Lepisosteus oculatus: one gene and its partner. The protein of the gene in region 1 interacts with the protein of each later gene in a pairwise test. Links are inferred from orthologs where the notes say so. Each region holds a gene or a part of one and is shown on either strand. Other genes may lie near its edges.

Region 1 (10,570 bases):
TGTATTTCATGCAAACCTATGCATTAACTATGCAAGGATGGGGTTTCAATAACTAACCAATTAACCAATTAATAAAATCTAAATCTAAACCAATTAATAAAATCCTACCTGTAGGTGAGAGTTAGTGATATGACACAAATGATGCCGTACACAGAGTGAAATACTCTCAAGTGGACATGTACATGTATAAGTCATCAACATGGAATAAAATAGACAAGAACATAGAGTATTGAATCACAGAGATATCCAATATCTTAGTGAAGGTATTCCAAGTGTGTTGGCGAGGTCTCCACAAGTCCTTTATGGCTTTCAAAGCTTTTGCTTGTTTTAGCAAGGTATGAAGCTTGGTCAATCATTTCACAGAGCAAAGTGTTTAAACTCATCAGCACAGCTTGGTTCATGCTTTTTAAAAGTGTTTTCCATCACAGTTCTGTTCTGATAAAAAAAATGTATCTTGTCTTGGTTGAAGGACAGTTTTTCAAGCAAGGCTTCTGTCCGAAGCACATGCTTCTGAACAGGCCACTGGGGGTCTGTCAAGTTCCTGGCCACGGGCAGGAGAAACCCCCCACCACAGTCATCTGGGAGATCGGTGAGGGAGCCCTGGGACAGGTCCTGGGCTGAGGCCTTGGTCATGGTGGACCAGTCATGGAGTCAAGGCAGCAGCCGAGTCAACAGTCATCCGAATCATGATTTGGCTATAACCAAAGTCTCTCCAAGATGGGTGCCCCTAAACTTCAGTGCTCAGGGTCGACACCAGTGGAGGGAGTCAATTGCTCGACTTGTACTGAGCTCCCTGCCTGACCGGATGCTAGAGGTGAGACGCGAGTTCACCAATGCTGCGCACCCTGAGAGCCGCCAGGAATCCATGCGTCTGAAGCTCCAGGGGGCTCTGCCTCCAAGACACTACACACTAAACCACCAGGGGCCAAGATCAGCTTTATTAAGGAAGAGCAGCATTGAGGAGGAGGAGGCAGTGCCGAGGGATGACCTGCCACAGTTGCTCCTTGCCAGATTCCTTCTGCGGAAGGAAATACCTCAATATTTCTGTACTGTATGAGCCATTTACATCAAAAACAGGACAACCAATGATCACCTGGGATTAATAAGGTATAGCAGAGCACAGCTGTCTCTTGATGTCTAGTTATAGCCACTCTTCAGCCTTGACAATGTCTGAAGCTGCCACTTGAAATCAAGGACATACTGTACCAGACAGAACAGCCCAGTCAAGTACAGTGCACTAATGAGTCAGGTTGAATCCTGCAGACTGTGCATGCTTTGACAGTTTATTTATGAACTAGGGTAACTCACTTATACTGTATGTATGTGTAAGGTAATTCACTTACCATGCATACACATGCACACGTATTCTGATATGCTGCTTCTTTTGTATTCATCCCAGCAGAGTGATATACAGTAAGATCCCACCTGCTGGTGGTTTCCAGAAGGATTTAGCAACGAGGAAACGGGTTTGATCTGTGATCTCCGTGGCTCGGTGCTTTGTTTTGACAGGCATTACATGTCCTCTGTTCTTCACATCTCTCCATTCTCGAGTCACACCACAGGGACTCGAGAATCGTTCGTCCAAAATATCGTGTTCACAAAGCCACACACACCCCGAGCTTACACACGGTCTGGATTTTCCAGCAGCAAGTCCTCCCTCGAGCTGTGAGCCAGCACCTGTAGCGATGACAGCTTTGGGACTCCGGCCCAAGTTCTATGAGCACTCTGAAATTGACACGTACAACCTTCAGTAATGTTATTACTGTGAAGAAATGCACACCTGTGGGGCATGTTAAATACAGTGAGTCAAATGTGGTAGTCATTAGGAATCTGAACACTCAGCACACAGTAGTGCTAGAGAAAATGAGCTGCCCTGGTTTTTTAATCATATCACTGCCTGCTTCCAATGAAAAAAGTTTTTTTAAATATTAATTCCTGAGAAAGACTATGTGAACTAGATGAAGTGATTTCAAGAGTTTTTATAAATGGCTGGGTGGATTAATGATTGCTCTAACGGATCTCGTCATGCAGCAACTTGAAAGAAACCAGTGTTTTTTAATCATTGTTGAGTGGTTGTTTACCACAGCATCGATTGACAGGATTTCAGAATAATAATGTGATTTACAAAAATACAAGACTTAGAGCTGTTTCTGGAATGGAGACAAAAGCATAGGAAAGGGATAAGGGGGTTAAACACTTAAATAAAGACTTTCCTTCAGTACAAAGGAACAAACATCTTTGAGATTTTGCAAGGGCAACCTGTTTAATTTCGTTCTCCCTGTCCTGCAAATGAACTATTTAAAATATGAACTGAAAGTCGAAAAATTGAAATCAATGCTGAGATTCGTAACTACCAGCTGTGTCCCCTCTGAACATTCTCTAACAAAACAGGAAGCTTCACTGCAAAGTTTTTTTTCTTTGAATGTGTGCCAGTTAAAATAATATAACATTCAAAAGTAATGGTTTTGATTGTATATTTTTTCATTAATAACTTCCTAAAGATAAATACAGAATAATTCTGGTAATTTTAAGGAAGAATAAAGTGCACACTTTCATTTCTTAATTCTTATTTTATCAATCAAATGCCACTGTATGAAATGGTTGGAATGCACAAGACTAAAGTTGTGAATATTTAAGAAGCATAAAATAATTATATCAGATTGAAAATAATAATAATACACTAAACTCACAGTGTGATATTAAGAACATAAGAAAGGTTAAAAAATTAGAGGAGATTTCAACCTATGGAGCCCATTTAGTAGTTAGTAACTGATCCAAAGATCTAATTCAAATGTTTTAAAGAACCCAGGATATCAGCTTCAACAACATGGATGGGTAGCTTTTCTATACTTGCACTGGGAGTATTATTCTGTATTGCAGCAGAACAGCATTGAATCAAATGATTTATTGCATATACAGGTAAGGCACTGATGTGAGTATGAGTAAATACATATTTCTTCATTTACTTAAGTGCATTTCATAGGTATTGCGTTTTAATACGCATTTAAAGCTAGATTTCAGAATGGATTTAATGATATTTCAATAAATGTCATTTTGAGTCAGCCTATGTCAGTTATTAAGCCAATATTTTATTGATTTTAATTAGAGAGCCATATTTGTGCTCACAGCCAATTTAAACTGTCATTTTAAAAGTGACACAGTATTTGTAATCTGTTACTTGAACCATTTTTTCTTTCTCTCAGAAGCTTTGGCAGTGAAGTGGCAATTTGGTCTGCCTGGCTGCCTCTTCACACCAGTCACTTGCTGACTTCATTGCTTTTTTTTAATGTGTTAACTCAAGCAATTAACAAAATAAACACTGTGTCTTCAAATCTCCCGGGACCGTTGATCTGCTTTTTCTATTACAGCACATTAGCTATGGCTTGGCTACTATGGACAGCGAGCCCCGATAGTGCATTTCCAGGAGAAACTGCAGTGTTCAGGCTGCCTTGTGGTAAGAATTCCAGACTTGACATCGGCAGTTCAGCCACCCATGTACAAGCTGTGAAGGTGAAGTGCAGAGGACAGAAAACTCACAACAACAACTGTTTTCCCCAACAAACACTTCATGTCAGATTCCCTAATTACAGCTTTTTTAATGCCTTCTGCCAGGAATTGCTTCTCGTTATCTTTGTGTAAAGTCATGCAATGTTGAAGCTCTTAACCAGACCTTTCCTTACACAAACTGCATTTACTGAAGTCTTGCAGAAACTTGCTGCACTGAGTGCTTTCTGTTTCATTGTTTTGTTAATTATTGAATGCATGAGTGCACTGAAAGCAATGTGAAATATAGCTGGATATTATAATGGAATTAAATGCATTTACACATAGTTTTTAACAATAATAATAATTATTGTTGTGCTTTTCTGGACACTCCACTCAAAGCGCTTTACAGGTAATGGGGATCCCCTCCACCACCACCAATGTGCAGCCCCACCTGGATGATGCGACGGCAGCCATAGTGCGCCAGAACGCTCACCACACACCAGCTCTCAGTGGGGATGAGAGCAGAGTAATGAAGCCAATTCATACTGTAGATGGGGATTATTAGGAGGCCATAATTGGTAAGGGCCAATGGGAAATTTGGCCAGGACATTGGGGTTACACCCCTACTCTTTTTGAGAAACGCCCTGGGATTTTTAATGACCACAGAGAGTCAGGACCTCGGTTTTACGTCTCATCCGAAGGACGGCGCCTGTTTACAGTACAGTGTCCCCGTCACTATACTGGGGCATGAGGACCCACACAGACCGCAGGGTGAGCGCCCCCTGCTGGCCCCACTAACACCTCTTCCAGCAGCAACCTTAGTTTTTTTGCCCCAGGAGGTCTCCCATCCAGGTACTGACCAGGCTCACACCTGCTGAGCTTCAGTGGGCTGCCAGTTGTGTGTTGCAGAGTGATATGGCTGCTTTTCCAACTAGATTTGATGGAATTATTTGATAATGTATTGCACTCTGCCCTAAAACTGTTATAAGGAAAAGAATTGTTTGAAAATGGATTGTTTGAAAATGGACAAATTAACCTCCTTAAAGAGAAATAACGCAGCAGTCCTAAAATCTCATAGCTCTGATAAGTTTTAAAATGACATTGGGGGTGAGGAGCTTCAATACTAATACTACTGAGAAACAAGGGCTCTCAGCCAAGTTATATTCCAGAGTCTGGGTCATTACTATTAAGAGTAGAGGGAGGGATCAGATATACTAGAAAATGTCCTCATTTTTTTTCCCTGGAAAATTTTCCAGGCCTGTTTTCTTTAAATTGTTATGAACCGGCACAGGAGGGGAAGGAGACTTATTTCATATTGTTTCCTGTTCATTCGTTGATACAATGTAATTGGTTCTCCTGCACACAGGGCAGCTGGCAGGTGAAGCAAAGTTTCCAGTGAAGAACTTGGAGCACAGGTGTCTCTCATTGTGCCGATGGTGCAGACCTTGACCCAGAAGGCCTGCGCTGAAAACATTCCGACACAGCATGTGCGGCACCACTCTTGTGCTTTGAGTTTCAAGCTGAAGGAGAGAGTGGTCTATGCATTTAATGTCATCCCTGGCACAGCTCTTAGTTTCTAAAATGTCATTGATACTACAAATGACCTCCAGAATTATCTGCTGCAGCTATCACTCCCTACCTCAATTCATTCCATCATTAGTTTTGCCCTAGCAATGGGGTGGCATATTTTAAGTTATAACATTCGGGTAATTTGGGTAAAATTTTAAAAATCAAAGGCTATTTTGTACCGATTCATTGATAGGGGTGGGTTTTGCAGGGATCTACTTTATGATTGCTATTTTGAATGTGCCTCTTAACCACATAGTCCTAAATTAGGGAGGGGGAGGGGCGTACATTTAAAATATTTTTTTATTAGAATGCTGACACAGCATCAGTCGACAATCTGAACAGGAAAATGTTGCCTTAGGTCCCAGCTGACTGTAAGGAGGTCATAAAAACTTCAGAAGTGTTGAATGTTGACTGTTGGTCAGCTCACCCCGGCGTCTGACCTTTTGTAAATCCTGCAAGAGGTTTTAAGAAAATGATGTGAACGAACGCCAGCGCGGTTGTTACTGAGTTTTAGTCTGCTTTACTTGAACACCACATCCTGGACTGAACAGATCGTGGATTTCAGCACAAACTGAGATGTACAGAGGTGTGCCACAAAGGGAACAGAAGCAAAGGCAACAGTATTTGTTTAGTTTATTTTGATTTTCATAATACCCTTCTTGCTAATGAGGTATTAGTTCACTAAAGCTGCATGTGTCTAATCAGAAATAGAACAGAGGCACTATTCTCAGTTAAATCTCCTCTCTAATCCCTTCCGGTATAAAGGTACTGTATCTTAGTCGAAAGGATTACCTTCTTCATCAGTCTTTTTTCAAATACATAAATGCCAACATCTTACCTGAATCTAAATGTCCCTCAATTTAACTCATCTTGCATTATATTATCATAATATCTCACACCATAAATCCTTTCCTTTACACCTAAATCTCTGCTTTGAAAACTGGGATGACCAACGTGACGAGAAGTACAGTACACTAGCTGACATGACTGTATAACGAGCATTTTATATCAAGTGACCCTTTCAACAACAGCAAATAAGTCCGCTATCTCTTTGAACAAATTGGATTTCGATACAAGGAGCTCAGCTAAAGGGCTGAGAAGAATAAGATGATGCTCTTTGATGAGGTCAGCAATGTAAGTACACATCGGCGTATTTGTGAGGCCAGCGAAGCGGTCTACGCGTCCGGAAATCATCACTTTTCAGAGAGCTGGGGCTCTAGATGTCCCGGGCTTGCACTGAAAATGCCGTCAAGTGTCCAGTATTTGATACATCATAAACAACATCATTATCATCGTCCTTATGCCTGAATTAAAACTACCGACGGGAGCCCAACAGAAACTAGGTGTGGCGGACGGCGGATGGCCGGGTTGCGCGAAGTCCTTTTAAATCGCGAGAAAACTTTGGGAATCACACCACGCTGTGTTAACATCGTATCTCTGGATATTTATTCTCACGTATAACATAAATGATATGGGGGTTCTGGAAGACTACACACTTTTTTTCTTTTATTCATTCCTGATCTCTCGGGAGCTACAGTCGCCGGCTCGCCCAGGCACCGGGACAGCCCGGACCCGTCTAGGCGCTGCCTGCGCCGCAAGTCGCTTTACGGCAGCGTGATCCACACACCGCCGCAAGAAATGAAACCCGGCAGAGCTGAATGAAAGCAGAAAGGGGGCGGGAAGGGAAGGGGGGGGAGTGCTGAATTGTATCCGAGCCGTCGCCGCTTCCCCCGCACAGTCTCAGTCTCGGATACAGGTGGCCCGGGCACGACGAGAGGCATGGTCTGCACAGCTGCCCCGCACGGTGTGGCGCTCCTGCTCGGCCTCGCCAGCTGCGCTCTGCTCCTCGGCCCGGCGAGGTGCGAGGACGGAGCCGAGGAGGACGAGCACTCGAAACATCTGTACACGGCCGAGATGTTCGGCAACGCCGTCGAGATCGCCCCGCACTTCGTCATGTTCTTCGCCCCCTGGTAATGGGTTTTTATTCCTCTGCCGGTACAACAACAACAAGAACAGCAGCAAAAAGGGCTGTCGCTCGATTCGAGGTGTTAACGTTTTTAGGATGGCCTTATCCGCCTTCGCCCGTAAAACCGCGAGTGCAACCAGGGAAGAAGGAGGGGGGTGGGAAAGATTAGTGGATCTTGCATGGCGTGGGCCGCCTGGGTTTGTGAAGTCTTAATGGAGCTCGAATGTAACGTGAGAAGCAAAAAAAAAAGACTTTTAAAAGAACATTGTTGCACGTCGTGTCGTGATCGGCAGGACGCACGGCCGATTTGTTAACGGGACATGAATAGGAAAATAAACTAGACGGTTCCTGACGCTCTCAAGGCGAGATTAGGATCTGAAAGGGAGGTTTTGCTAAACTTTTTTTTTTTGTTCTTAAAACAATGGGCGCTTTGGGATGCCGCGGGAAGGAGGGTCCTTTTAGGGACGGGTTCGGTTGGGGATTAGTGATTTATTGTGGACGCGATGGAAGAGGACGAGCTTTAAATTAGTAGTTTTCTCTTGCAGTCATGTTGCTCTTGCACGGTAGAACAAAAGTGTATCCAAGTGGCCTAAAAAGGATTTGATGTCCCAGCGTTAGCTCTGGGATCCGGAGTTGTGCCGTGGCTGCTGACGTGGCTAGTACTGACGTATCTCTTACAGACGGATATAGCTACACACCTAGATTGAATAATTTTTGGTCAGCATAGCATTACTGGTTTATACGAGGAATTGCCTTTTCAGCAGCCAGTTTTGAACTTTAACACGTCCTTGATCTGTGACTGCACGCGTGAACTAGGAAATGTTTAAACTCGAGGTCTGCTTCGATTGAACATTACCTTGCTGGATCTGCGGTTTAGGTCAAGGAAGTCTAAGATGCCATGTCACTGTGAGGTTCTTATGCATGATATGTGCCAGAGGACTGCAGTATTCGTCCTGGACGGTTGGTGTGTGTCTGCAGGGTTTCCAGGCAGGTCGGTGGGTCCAATAAACCCAATAAGAAGTTGATTTTTAATTCATTAGGGTTAATTAGAGCTAATGTTTCATGAAACCCTGCAGACACAGTGGCTGTTCGGGATCAGAAATGAAGACTGCTGCCTTTGGGTAATCACAGGGCACAGAAACATTTCTTTCCGACTTTTTTCTGATTTTTTAAAAATTATTACCAGTTATTTTTATTTTGATATCAACATTGCCACCTTTTATTTGGTGAAGAGCCACTACTTGAAAGCAGATGGGAAACCAGCAGGTTACTAGTCTAGTGTGAAGCAGCAGCTCCCAGAGAGCTAGGGGCTGTCGTAGAAGTGATCCAGTTAGGCCGATACTGACCCGATTCAGGTCGTCACGTGCCCAGCTGGGCACTGACCCAGACTGAAATCCAGGGGGGATCCCGAGCTCAGCTGCGAAGGGGCGCTCGTGCTGCAGTCTGCAGCCTGAGTGCAGAGCACACACTAACGTCCGAACATCACAACCTCCCTGCTGCTGTCACCAGACTGTTCAGTTCCATTTCCACAGCCTGCAGCTCCTCGTCTTGAGCCGTTCTCTCACTACTGGCGCCTCTCTGGAGTGAAAGTGTGAAGGCCAGGCTGTCCCAGCTTTGAGTGGCTCATTGACTGTCGCAGGGGCTGAGGTGTAGCCTAGCTGGTGAGACGTGTCTCACCCCTCCCCCCCCCCCTTCTGTCTCCTCAGGTGTGGCCACTGCCAGAGGCTCCAGGGCACGTGGAACGAGATGGCGGACAAGTACAACAGCATGGAGTCGCCCCCCGCCTACGTTGTCAAGGTGGACTGCACGAAGGAGACCACGGTCTGCTCTGGACAGGGCGTCCGAGGGTACCCCACGTGAGTGTGTTTCAGGAACACGCGTGTGCGGTTTGCCTTCGTGTGTACAGGGGGAACTCCGGATGGGGCCAAATGAACGAAAACAGCTGCACTGGGGATCCTCACCTCAAGCAGCATTGGGGAGCAGGAAAAGACACCTGGCCTCCTCTCGCTCAGAACCGGGTTTTTTCACCTCATCCAGAAAGACACAGACATTGCTGCCGGTCACTGGAGGGGGTCTGGGTTGTGCCAGCAAGGCATCTGGACTAAAAACATAAGATGAAATACGCAGACGAGGCTGAAGAGTATCCTCTGACTGACTTGTCTGTCCTAGACGGTCATTTTACACCTGCTCTTTTTGTGGTTGCTCCTGGAATTTCTTCTCTTTGTAGAAGAGTGATTGGTTTGGTAGCCGTCCCTGAAGAGGACCAGTTGTAGATGAATAGTGTTCTTTTAGTCCCATTAGTGTGTGGCGCTCCCTCTGGATTCACACATCAGGTGCTTGACTGTTCTGCGGGTCTCTAGTGTATTAAATTATCGTACCAAATGTGTATAATAATACTGGTATTGAAAGAGAAGTGGAGCATGTTTATTCTTGAGCAATTTGATTAGATGGGGAAGCTTGGCGGTTTTTATTGTTCTTCCTTCCTTTATTTGTTATGGGATTCAGCGTTCTCTACAGCAAACATTCAACCGATGACAAATTTTCTTGTTCTACTCCAGACAATTAAAGATGCAGTGGCGCAGAGGCGTTTAACATTCAAGGCGCATAGCTCGATCAAAAGCGGTTGTCAAGTGCCCTGCTGCGTGGCTTTGGTTAAGTGAAAGAAGAGGCCACGGTAAAATAAAAGACTGCATGATGTTTTATTAATGCCTGTCGAAACTTTTAAATGGAACACCTCATGCTTTCCATGTTGCTCTCTGTCTGTAGTAGTAATAGGAAATCTGAATCAAGCAGATAACATCTCACATGGCATAGCTGGAAAAAGCCGTCTCATTTAACAAGAATGTCTCTCAGTCTTAGGAAGAGGGTAGCAAAGAACGTCTTGGTGTTACTGCTTGACATGTTGCAGACTTTAAATGTTATATCTAAACTAGTGTGTGAGCAGTTAAATCATCGTTAATCTGTTGTGTAATGGTCTCTAAGATTTTGCTTTTGCGGTTTCACCTAATGATTCCCTTCATTATGTAGACAAGTGTTAATGTTATACAACATTTAACATTGCTGACGGTGTCGCGTTAAGCTTGTTTGGACTGTGTTTTGTGTTAAAGATTGCTGAATAACAAGCTTGATTTATTCTCTCCCAAACTATCGCAGATGAGTAACGGTCACAATTGTTGTAATATTGGAAACTAAAGGAGGCTTTGAGGAAACTGTTGATGCTCACAGAGTGTACATATTTTAATTCCTGAAGGCGGCTAAGATGTCATGAGATATTTACACACCACTGTATTTCGTAAATTTTTAATTTTTCTTTGAAAGATGTTAGAGATGCAGCTTGTTAAAAAATATTGCATAATATGCGTGAAATTGAAGTAAAAACCAGTTGAATCTTTACCTGGTCCTTCCCCACTTTGATTGTTTTTGGGGATTTTGAAACTACTGTACCTTGGAGATATATTTCTGTCTTTGTTTCACAGCAAGGATCTCTTCAGTTTCAAGATGCACACGAATGTTCATTTGTGTGTTTTGTGTTCTTGGACATATCCTGAC
Region 2 (10,416 bases), on another chromosome or scaffold:
TAGAGAGGTTTAGCCAGGAACGGCTCTATATGAATTGGAATATGATCCCTGTACACAATACAGTACTACTGACTCTCAGCCCTCACAATGTGGAAGTACTGTATATAGCCTCACAATGTGGAAGTACTGAAAGTCAAGACTGGCTAGAATAAAACAAACAATTAAAAAAAAGTTTGGGTAATAGAAACAGCAGTTCCAGGTATGTAAGATGTTACTCAACTGAGTGTAAAAGCTGGTTGCTGAAAACATTCAACATTCAAACATCAGTTTCGCCCATTCTCTTGGGCATTGATACAGTATGTTTCCCTCTCTTGAATGTACGGCCAGGATTTATCACCGTCATCTCTACACAAGCTAGTGTGGAGTGTGGGGGACAGAGTACAAGTGGGTATTCCCTAATTTCACAGTCTAAACACCTTCACCTCCATGCTGATCCCAATCGTGGAACACTGAAAAGATTCCTGACCCGCTGTTCCCTCACCAAAACGCGGGTGATACGCAGTTAAGGGGAGAGTGATGTGGACGTAGAGGTCACTCACCACTATGGTGCCCTCCTTGCCATGGTGCTTGTGGAACTTGAGCATGTCCTCGAAGGGGAAGTCACAGATGACATCGCTGTTAAGCACAAAGAAGGGCTCTGTGTTGTCAGTCAGAAGCTCCCTGGCCAGAGCTAAGGGCCCCGCTAAAACACAGATGAACACAGTCATCACTAAACCCACCAAGAAATACATCAAAATATCAGCCACTGAACAGTGAGCCTGCAGTAATCATTCGCACATAAAACAGGACGTCCCCTTTAACGGCCCAAGTTCACCCATTGTTTTTAACAAAGGGGGTTCTCTGTCCTGAAACGATGCTCTCTTGTTATTCACATTCAACAATTGCAAACTACTTTATATGCAACTACTTTTATAGATCAGATTATATATTCAATATTTCTCATTATTCAATATTTTTATTTAATTTTATGTAATACTTTAGCATGGGTGTTGGGGTCATGTAATACTTTAGCATGAGTTCATCTGACTAACGAAAACACCAGACGAAAAGAGTCTTCACCTCTTTTATTAGTGTTGGGTACATTTAATTGTGCCAGTCTTGACAGAAAGTAGTTGGAAAGGCAATGGCTTGCTATCTGACGACACCATTGCAAACCACATGTGAACAGGAATGAGTAAAAACTTGATTTGATCCTCTGGTAAACTGATAATCAGATTCAGAAAAATTATCCAAGTTATTAGACCAAGGGGAAAGTGGATCACTGAGCAAGTCAGTTATTCACCAGCAGTGAGGGAATTCATCCTTAATTAATTAATTCATCCTGAGCTAAATATATGACTATATCAATAACACTGAAGTGCTTCTCAGGCACAGCTCACCACATCTTACTTCTTAATCTCACAATATTGTTTTTTAAAAAGCGAGAATTTCCCTTTTCATATGTTTTTATGCCTTTCAGTCTTCAAAGTCTGTACTTATTAAGGTGCTCAAGAGCAATTATTGTTGTTGCTGGTTTTAGTATTTTTCCAGTCCTTCCTGATTCACTTACCTGTTCCCAATGGCTCCTTTTCATGAGAGAGGGATATTCGAATCCCAAGCTGTGAGAGAGCAAGATAAGAAATGGCATGAAACACAGAAGCTCGGCGAAAATGTCCCGCTTTAAAGCGATTCAAACACTAAATACGGGTATTCAGCACCCACAAGTAGTGGGTAGTCTAACATCAGACATAAACATGCAGGAACTAGATGCTCCTCTGGTAAGGCAGCAAAGCTGTCTATGTTACTGTAATCCTTTAAGGTTATGTCTAATATATCCACATGTATTGACTGTACATGTTCAAATGTGAAAATTATAGCCCTTCAAATGTAACCATTTATATATATGCCTCTGACTAGTTGTACTAGTTGTAAAAGTCATAATATGAACAAAGTGCCGATACAGTATGTGACAGTGAATATCAAAGTCACCCTGAATCCCCATGTCCCTTATAAACTAAGCATTCCCAGAAATAAGCTCCTTCTCTTTCACATCTTCCAAGCCACCTACCCTCTGCTCCTGGGCCTTCATTTCCTTCTCCAGCAGCTCAGACATGTAGCTGACAGCCAGGATGACATGGTTCACACCAGCCTAAGCAATGCAAAAAAAACTCCACTTAGCACACAGACCATTTCCCTTGGACTTAAGACCATCACATACCACAAGGAACTACTCTGAATGGAACCTGAACTACTCTGGTTACAGACAAAAATACATAAGAACAAGACTGATTTTTCTTTTTGACTGGCAGCTTTTTGTAAGAAAAACAGCTCAGGAATGAAGATTCACAGAAGAACAAGTTTCAAAACATAATGGTTATTTCTATTAGTAAAACACCCTACCATGGTTGAAGACTTACCTTGAATATTAGCAGAGTCCTTGATAATTTTACTTCCACTGTTTTTAAAGGTGGGACACCATAGATGATCGGCAGGACTCAGTCAATTTCCTGAAGGAATAATTACTTTCAATCACACAAAATCTGTACTGACCTTCACCAGGGCTTCCACCTGGTGCAGAAGAATGGGCTTGTTGCAGAACTCCACCAATGGCTTTGGCACGCTCAGCGTCAGGGGTCGAAGTCTTGTCCCATAGCCACCAACCAAGATCAGCGCTTTCATGTTGACCTGAAAGATGGTGTAGAGACAGGTGGCTCAGTCTGAGGCAGGCATCTCCTCTAAGCACTGAACATTCAGCTCTTTCAATTTTCCCTCTACACACCCCTATGTAACTTCATCTTTGCATAATGCCAGCTGTAACTGTTGGACCGTTATCACTTCACATGACTCCCTCTATAATCCTGTCACCACGGCCTCAGCAGTTCAAGTGCCTTTCCAAGTCTTGATCAGTGTATGGAAGGACTAAATAAGGACATAGGATCAGTTTACCACCTTCTCTTTGTCTAATTTTCTTCACAATACAAAGAACTTCTGTTGCCCTTGAACCACTACAGCTTTGATTTTTCAACCAGAGCTCTTTAATATTATCCTTCGGATGAGACGTAAAACTCAGGTCCTGACTCTCTGTGGTCATTAAAAATCCCAGGGCGTTTCTAGAAAAGAGTAAGGTTGTAACTCCTGCGTCCTGGCCAAATTTCCCATTGGCCTTTATCAATCATGGCCTCCTAATAATCCCCATCTATAAGTTGGCTACATCACTCTGTTCTCCTCCCCACTGATAGCTGATGTGTGGGGAGCGTTCTGGCGCACTATGGCTGCCGTCGCATCATCCAGGTGGATGCTGCACATTGGTGGTGGTGTAGGAGAGTCCCCATTACCAATAAAGCGCTTTGAGTGAAGCGTCCAATAATATAATATAATACATTACTATTATTATCCTTCTGTGGTGGCAAAAACTTACGGTAGAAGACCATATTCAGAGTAAAGCCAAGCTAACATATACTTTGGATTTTTTTTATTTCAGAGTGGAAAATAAAAAAAAATCACAATGTATTTAGCATGACATGCATCTCATGATAGGCAAAACAGATTGCACAGTTCAGCTTCAAATTTGTGTGACTTTTCTATGGTTACAATGGAGGCTGGGTTATGGACGAGCTGAAGACTGTCAACACAATTACTGAATGGTGGACACTGTATTTATTCTTCTGTTTATGGGAGATGAAATAACACTACAGAAACTGACAGTAATGCAGAAATTACATCTATTATGAACTGACATTGACCTCACCTTTAATGGATCATACCACAGAACAAGAGACAGAAATAAAAATATTTTGAAACAGAAGGTCAATAAGACCCTCGTGGCAAACACAGAAGTCACTTAACAGACACAAAAACCCATAAAAACACACTGAAGTAAAAAAAAAGGCGTTTTTTTTGCAAGTTCAGAAGAATGTAATATAATGTATTTGAACATTGCTACTTTCACTGCCTGAAATGTCCAGGAAGACGAAGACTCAGAGATCGTGATTCACACTGCATCTACAATCTACTGTGTCTGTTCAACAAGTTAGTCCAGTTATTCGAGGTAGTTAGCGAATTGAAAACATGACGTCACGGCTGGTTACGTGTAAAAAAACATTTCATTCATAAAAAACACGAATAACAATTATCGGCAGGATTACATTTGACGCACTTCACGGTTTAATTAAAAACTATGTGCACTGTAATAACTGAAAAGTATTAGTCCCGAAACATAATCATTTTTTTCGTGGCATATGAAGTGAACGAAAACACCTGTACCATCACAGGTTGTGATGAGTAATTGAACGAACTGGTATGCAGCACTGTACAGTATTGTTGCACACATTAACAAGCGTCCTGCGAGCTATGATGAAAAATACATTCAGCAGTTACTTTTTCTTCGAATGCACACATCAAAGTCTAAAATGGAAAAACATTAAGATGAGTTAATACTGAAAACAACACTAAAAATAAAGGCAGAACCCGAATGAAAAAAGCAAACTTCATACAGCAGCACATTTGCCGTTGAGAATCAAAACCTTCTCACTTCGTCACTTACCTGCTGTATCAAACTTTAGGATATTTCACTGTTCGGCCTGGAATGTGTACTCAAAACAGCGATCTCGATACGGCAGGGCTGTTAAATAATTTGCACAATATATAAACTACAATATTACTGTTTTCTCTTTCGTGAATGACTGACAGCACAGTAACTCTATCAAAGGGGCGGGACAAGACCACAATGCATTTGAACAACAACTACTACGAAATCTGGGGTTAGGGGTCATTGGGAAATACCACTTTGCAGGAAGGTGACTTTAACAAAATTATGAATAAACTCGGTGAAGGCAGCAAGATGCCCCTATACTAATATCTAGCGACTAATATAAACATGGCATTTATATTTGGGATTTTTCTTAATTCGAAACAAATAAAACGTCCTCTTCTTTTTATCAGCACGTTGGTTCTTCCATTCGGTCACCTAGCAACCAATGGACGCCAAGTTGTGAGGAAATAGGGAAGTTGCGAAGGGGGAGGATGAGTAAACCACATTACTGCAGAGTCTCCTTACTCATCATTCAGATTATAACACTACTGCTCCTTTGCATTGTGTTTTGGCTGCACAATTACCTCAGCGAGTGTTTTATTTTGTACATCCTGGTTTGACCGCGCCCCTTCCACGGTGCTTGCCGGCCTATCACAAGGAACTAACGTGGCAAGGAGGAAGTAGTGCGAATTGTCCAATAGCAATCGCACACAACACTAAGGTCTTTTTTTTTTTGCTGACGTACATACGAGTTACCCATGACGTATTAGTCCATTTGTCCAATTAGAAAGAAGCAAGTTGAGCAAGTGCATAGTTAAAAAAACGATCTCAAATAAAGGTACGTGACTAGAATTCTGGTGATTTAGTCTTCCTTGCATTAGGCGGGTGAAGACAATGAAGATAATGGTAAGGGGTTCCATAGTTAGATGGTTAGATTTAGAGCTTTTAATACAGTGATTACCGTTGTAACTACACCTATATTATTGTTAGTACCAGAAAGACGTGTATTTTAGAGTACCGTGAAATGAACTACATGTTAAGAACTGAAACAGTCTCTGAACGCCGAGGTGAATCCAAGAAAATCTTATTTTAGTCCAGTTAGCTTGCAAAATATAGCGTGACCTCGTATTGGCGACGTTTAATGCGAAAATACAGTGGATGGGTTGATTTTCCATATGCATACGGTCCAGAGACGTCCTTCTGACAGCCCCTGGGTTTATAATGTAAAGCATATCCATACTACTCCCGGTTTTATAGGTAACAAATCAATCTTTATGACTCTGGAGAACTTGTGATAAATTGTAGGAAATCTGGTGAATAGAGTAATTTACACATGATTTGGAACATAAATTGAGCCCTTAAGACCCAAAGTTCCCTGAATTAAAAGCAACTTGCTTAATTGATCACTAACTTACAATGGCTCCCTGATCTTCAGAAATGAGTGATTTTGGATGAAGACCATTGTGGGTTTTGAGAACCAGTGCTGGTGACCCCTTTATTATAGGCTGGTGGTTCTCACCCCTGGTCCCGAAGGACAACAGTGCCAGTTTTAAGTCCAACTGGGAATCCACCGATAACCAGTGCGAAAGGATGCTTGATCTATTTGCTGGTTCATTCTTTTTTCTGCATTAAGTCCTTGGTTTCAGAAATACCCTAAAGAATGTTATATGCACCTTCCACAAATATACATTTATAAGTCTCTCCTCAACTTCCTAATTATTCCCATTATTTCTGTCTTAAAAGCTTTTAATTATGAGCACAGATAGGCACGACATTGCATCAGGCACACCTAAAGTTTTTTTTTTCTTCGGTTACTCTGGTCACATTTTTAGTTAACATACCTGGATAACTCTGAAACCGAGGAATTGGCACAAAATTGATAGTTAGAAACTCCATTCACTTCTTATGAGATGAAAGAAAACCTAATAACATACCTATATTAGAAAATCTCAATAAATTCACATACAATTTGAACTTGGCTAGAGCACAAAATAAATGAAAATCCAACAGTGCCCCAGGACCATTCTTGAGAACCACTGTTACAAGGAACTCAAACCCTTCTATGATTAGAAACAGCTGCAATTAAGACCAATTCCATCATCAATAATTAATTCAATTAAGACATTGAGAGGATGGATGAAATGAAAACCCGATGGACCCATAGTTCTTCAAGACCAGGAGCACAGCTTTAGAGAATGGCCACAGATTTACACTGGTAAAAATGTGTTTCTTCAGGGTAAAGCTTACCAAGATCTTAGTCTCACTAGAAAAAGAAAGCCTTAAAACCTAATCTTTGTAACCACTGGTGCAATATCGAACAAGTTGTATGATGCATTGCTGTAATCCATTTCTAATTATATTAGTCTGTGAAATGGGAAAAAATTGCATCACCATTTCTGAGAAAAATGTTTTACTGTGAAATTTTAATACTGCAACTTCTAGCGACTATATACCTGGTGAAATCAATCTGGTTTTGTTTTGACATCAATAAAATGTTAGTTTTTATTTATCCCACCTCAAGGCACCAGTGTACTGTCAATAAAGAGACAAAGAGTTAACTGAGAAGATATTACTTAATCAAATATACAGTATATAATGTTTACATGATACACTTCTGAATTTGAGTCTGTATTTTCAAGTTTAATTATGGAATAAAAAGCTGCATCATGTTTGAATGTTTGTACTTATCATGTACAGTAAATATTCAAATTGATTTCAATTAATATGAAAATCAAAATTGAAAAATCTTTTTGATTAGATGTCTTGTTTAAGGGATAAATGATGTGACTACTGTTTGTGTTGCTGCTCTACAGGTCATTTGGTTACACAGATGTTTTATTATTAATGAGTATTATAATGTTATAATATTCTAACATTAGTTCCTCTCAGCGATACTTGATGAATAGATTCTGAAAAACACTTCCACAATACTGTATTTTCTCCTTTACTTCATAGCTTTTTCTGTGCTTACCTCAAAAAACTGCATGTTCCAGGCGATGCTTGGAAAGATTCCTGGCAAGTCTACAAGTTTAATTTGCTATGGGTATTCTTATGCTTTAAGTGACACAACATGCATAGAATTCAGCAAAAGTTACTATCTGCCTGCACACAGTTTTAAAAACGTTCAGAAGTTTGTCTAGTATATTTGTGTGCACTTAGTTGGATGGAATATTAACTAATTGTACTGACCTGTTTTGCAGCACTGATATTATTTGAATGTTTATATGTACTATTTCTAGTTTCAATTGCAAGTTAATATGTTATTAAACCCAATAATAATTGGTTACACTTATATAGCGCTTTTCTGGATACTCCACTCAAAGTGCTTTACAGGTAATGGGGACTCCCCTCCACCACCACCAATGTGCAGCCCCACCTGGATGATGCGATGGCAGGCATAGCGCGCCAGAACGCTCACCACACATCAGCTATCAGTGGGAGGAGAGCAGAGTAATTAAGCCAATTCAGAGTGGGGATTATTAGGAAGCCATGATTGGTATGGGCCAATGGGAAATTTGGCCAGGACACCGGGGTTACACCCCTACTCTTTTCGAGAAACACCCTGGGATTTTTAATGACCACAGAGAGTCAGGACCTCGGTTTTACGTCTCATCTGAAGGACGGCACCTATTTACAGTATAGTGTCTCAGTCACTATACTGGGGCATTAGGACCCACCTGGACCGCAGGGTGAGTGCCCCCTGCTGGCCCCACTAACACCTCTTCGGTAAGCAGCCTTAGTTTTTCCCAGGAGGTCTCCATCCAGGTACTGACCAGGCTCACACCTGCTTAGCTTCATTGGGCTGCCAGTTGTGAGTTGCAGAGTGACATGGCTGCTGACGTCATATAGTCTTACTTCCCAAGTCTTCTTTCCGGCAGCAGCATAGTGAAAAAAATACAAATATTTTGTAGCTTGTGGTATAGGGAAGAGTTCAAATGCACCAGTTTTAATATAGGTTTGAGGCGATTGATCCAGTTTCTTATTCTTAAGCAATTATATGTACAGTAAGTTCCAGAAGTACAAATTCCATGCTGCAGCTGAATGCTTCATGGGATCTCAATTTTCACCTCAAGTGAAAAGATGTTCAAAACAGATCAACATGGAAGATTGTGGCGATACCCACAGAATACTCTGATCCCTTGACCCATTTTATCAGCAAAATCTGCACATATTCCATGTGAATCACTACCCAAAACAGGACATTCTCTGATGCTTCCTATAATCTTAATTTCTATGACATGGAGGGAAATTAAGATTATAGAAAGATTCTATAGGAATCTAAGAATTTTCAGCCATGAGCAATTACAAATAAAATCCAGTTTCTGTCACTTGCCAGTGCTGTTATGCTGCAAAACATTGGTAGGATTTTTATTAACCATTTATTGGCTTAATCCTAGGGAGTACATTGCTCTAACATTGTTACATGAACATTCTAATACAATGAATTTATGCCACTGGGCTTGGCAACTGCTTTCTTTGCACTGCTATACATTCGGAAAATAAACTACTATAAAGCTGCCCAGACATGACAAGACACAAGCATTTGATGTCTGGTGTGAAAATGTAATGTAGCCAGGATTCCCTATTAAAGGACTGATTTATAACTGGTACATCCAAATTTCAAATTGCAAGATTGTTTTCCTATCAAAATTAACAACATGGATTCATATACCTGTAGCACCCTTTATTAATCCAAAGACTCCCTAAGGTGCTCTAGAAAAATGGACCCAGATGAAAAACATATAAAAATATATTCAGGCCCTTTTAAATAAAATGTATGCTCCCTGTACACCAGATATTATAAAAGATTAAATGAGATTAAAATACAGTTCAGTTCTGCTGATGTGCAGCACAGTAGTAGAATCTTTCAGTGTTTTTCTTAAGTGTACTGTTCCAGATGTGTTGCATGTCAATCACTAAAACTAATATATACACATAAATAACAAAAGAGATGAGACACATTTTTTTAAATAATTGTTTTAGTTCACATTCAAAGTTGTCATAAAGATGTCATTTTATATTTCTTCTTAAAAAAATATCCATCCATGCAACAAAAAAAAGATACTTTGAATTTTTGGGGCAATATATTTCTCTACTAATCATCTGACTCATTTCTATGGAAAGACTGGCAATAAACATCCAACAAAGAGGAGGGTTTTATGACTTTAAACCGATCCCCTTTAAAGAGTGCAGACTTTTTTATTTCTTTTAATTTGGCCCAATCTTACCTTCTCTGGCATATAGCAGAAGTTCAATTTTACTAGAGACTGAACTCCACAATAGAAAGAAACAGCACAAACTAGGCTATTTTTGAAATGCTAAAATATTTTAAATAAAGAATAAAATATATATTTCACATTACTAGTATGTGTTTCTATATGACTAATCTGTCTACTAGGATGCAACTTTCAATCCAAAGAGTTTTGACTGCAAATATACATCAAAAGCATGACAGTCTTAATTGGAAAAGACTAGTACCCAGAAGATTTGTAGCAGATTGCACTACGTAAAGGAATTCCTATGAATCAAATTCAAAGGAAATGTAGTCCAAGCCATGCAATATTATTTAGGCAATTAAAAATTCACTAAATTTTGAGACCAGTTGCCCCAGAATGACAGAAGAAAAAATTGTTAAAACGTTATTAAAAATTAGAATTTTCAGCAACAATCATTAGTTTCTGAAGCAGTGGGCACTGAAGAAAAGTAGTCAGTTCTGCTGGTCTCAGAAAAATCACCAAAATGGAAGACCGTAAGTTAGCTTTGGCACTGAAAGATAGGCAATCAGGAATGCTAGCACAGGAATGGTAGACATCAATATCAACACCCATATCACTATGCTAAGAGATGTCAGAAACAGTACATTACTTAAGGAATGACTTTCCCTTTGGGGAATCCTTTCCTAACTA

The links.
Region 2: the proteins of txndc5 (region 1) and gmppb interact in a two-hybrid assay, tested with the Homo sapiens proteins (2 studies listed by BioGRID and IntAct). The two-hybrid records come from large-scale screens. The link is inferred for Lepisosteus oculatus from reciprocal best matches to the Homo sapiens genes TXNDC5 and GMPPB.

What each region holds. Positions count from the first base shown.
Region 1 is NC_090701.1:3,350,216-3,360,785, reverse strand, and holds the start of txndc5 (thioredoxin domain-containing protein 5), read left to right. Parts: upstream 1-6,407; 5' UTR 6,408-6,834; coding exon 6,835-7,025; intron 7,026-8,727; coding exon 8,728-8,877; intron 8,878-10,570. UniProt on the Homo sapiens protein: Protein disulfide isomerase of the endoplasmic reticulum lumen involved in the formation of disulfide bonds in proteins. Can reduce insulin disulfide bonds.
Region 2 is NC_090699.1:57,053,684-57,064,099, reverse strand, and holds the start of gmppb (mannose-1-phosphate guanyltransferase beta), read right to left. Parts: upstream 4,715-10,416; 5' UTR 4,523-4,714; intron 2,665-4,522; 5' UTR 2,659-2,664; coding exon 2,530-2,658; intron 2,129-2,529; coding exon 2,048-2,128; intron 1,599-2,047; coding exon 1,550-1,598; intron 683-1,549; coding exon 540-682; intron 1-539. UniProt on the Homo sapiens protein: Catalytic subunit of the GMPPA-GMPPB mannose-1-phosphate guanylyltransferase complex. Catalyzes the formation of GDP-mannose, an essential precursor of glycan moieties of glycoproteins and glycolipids. Can catalyze the reverse reaction in vitro.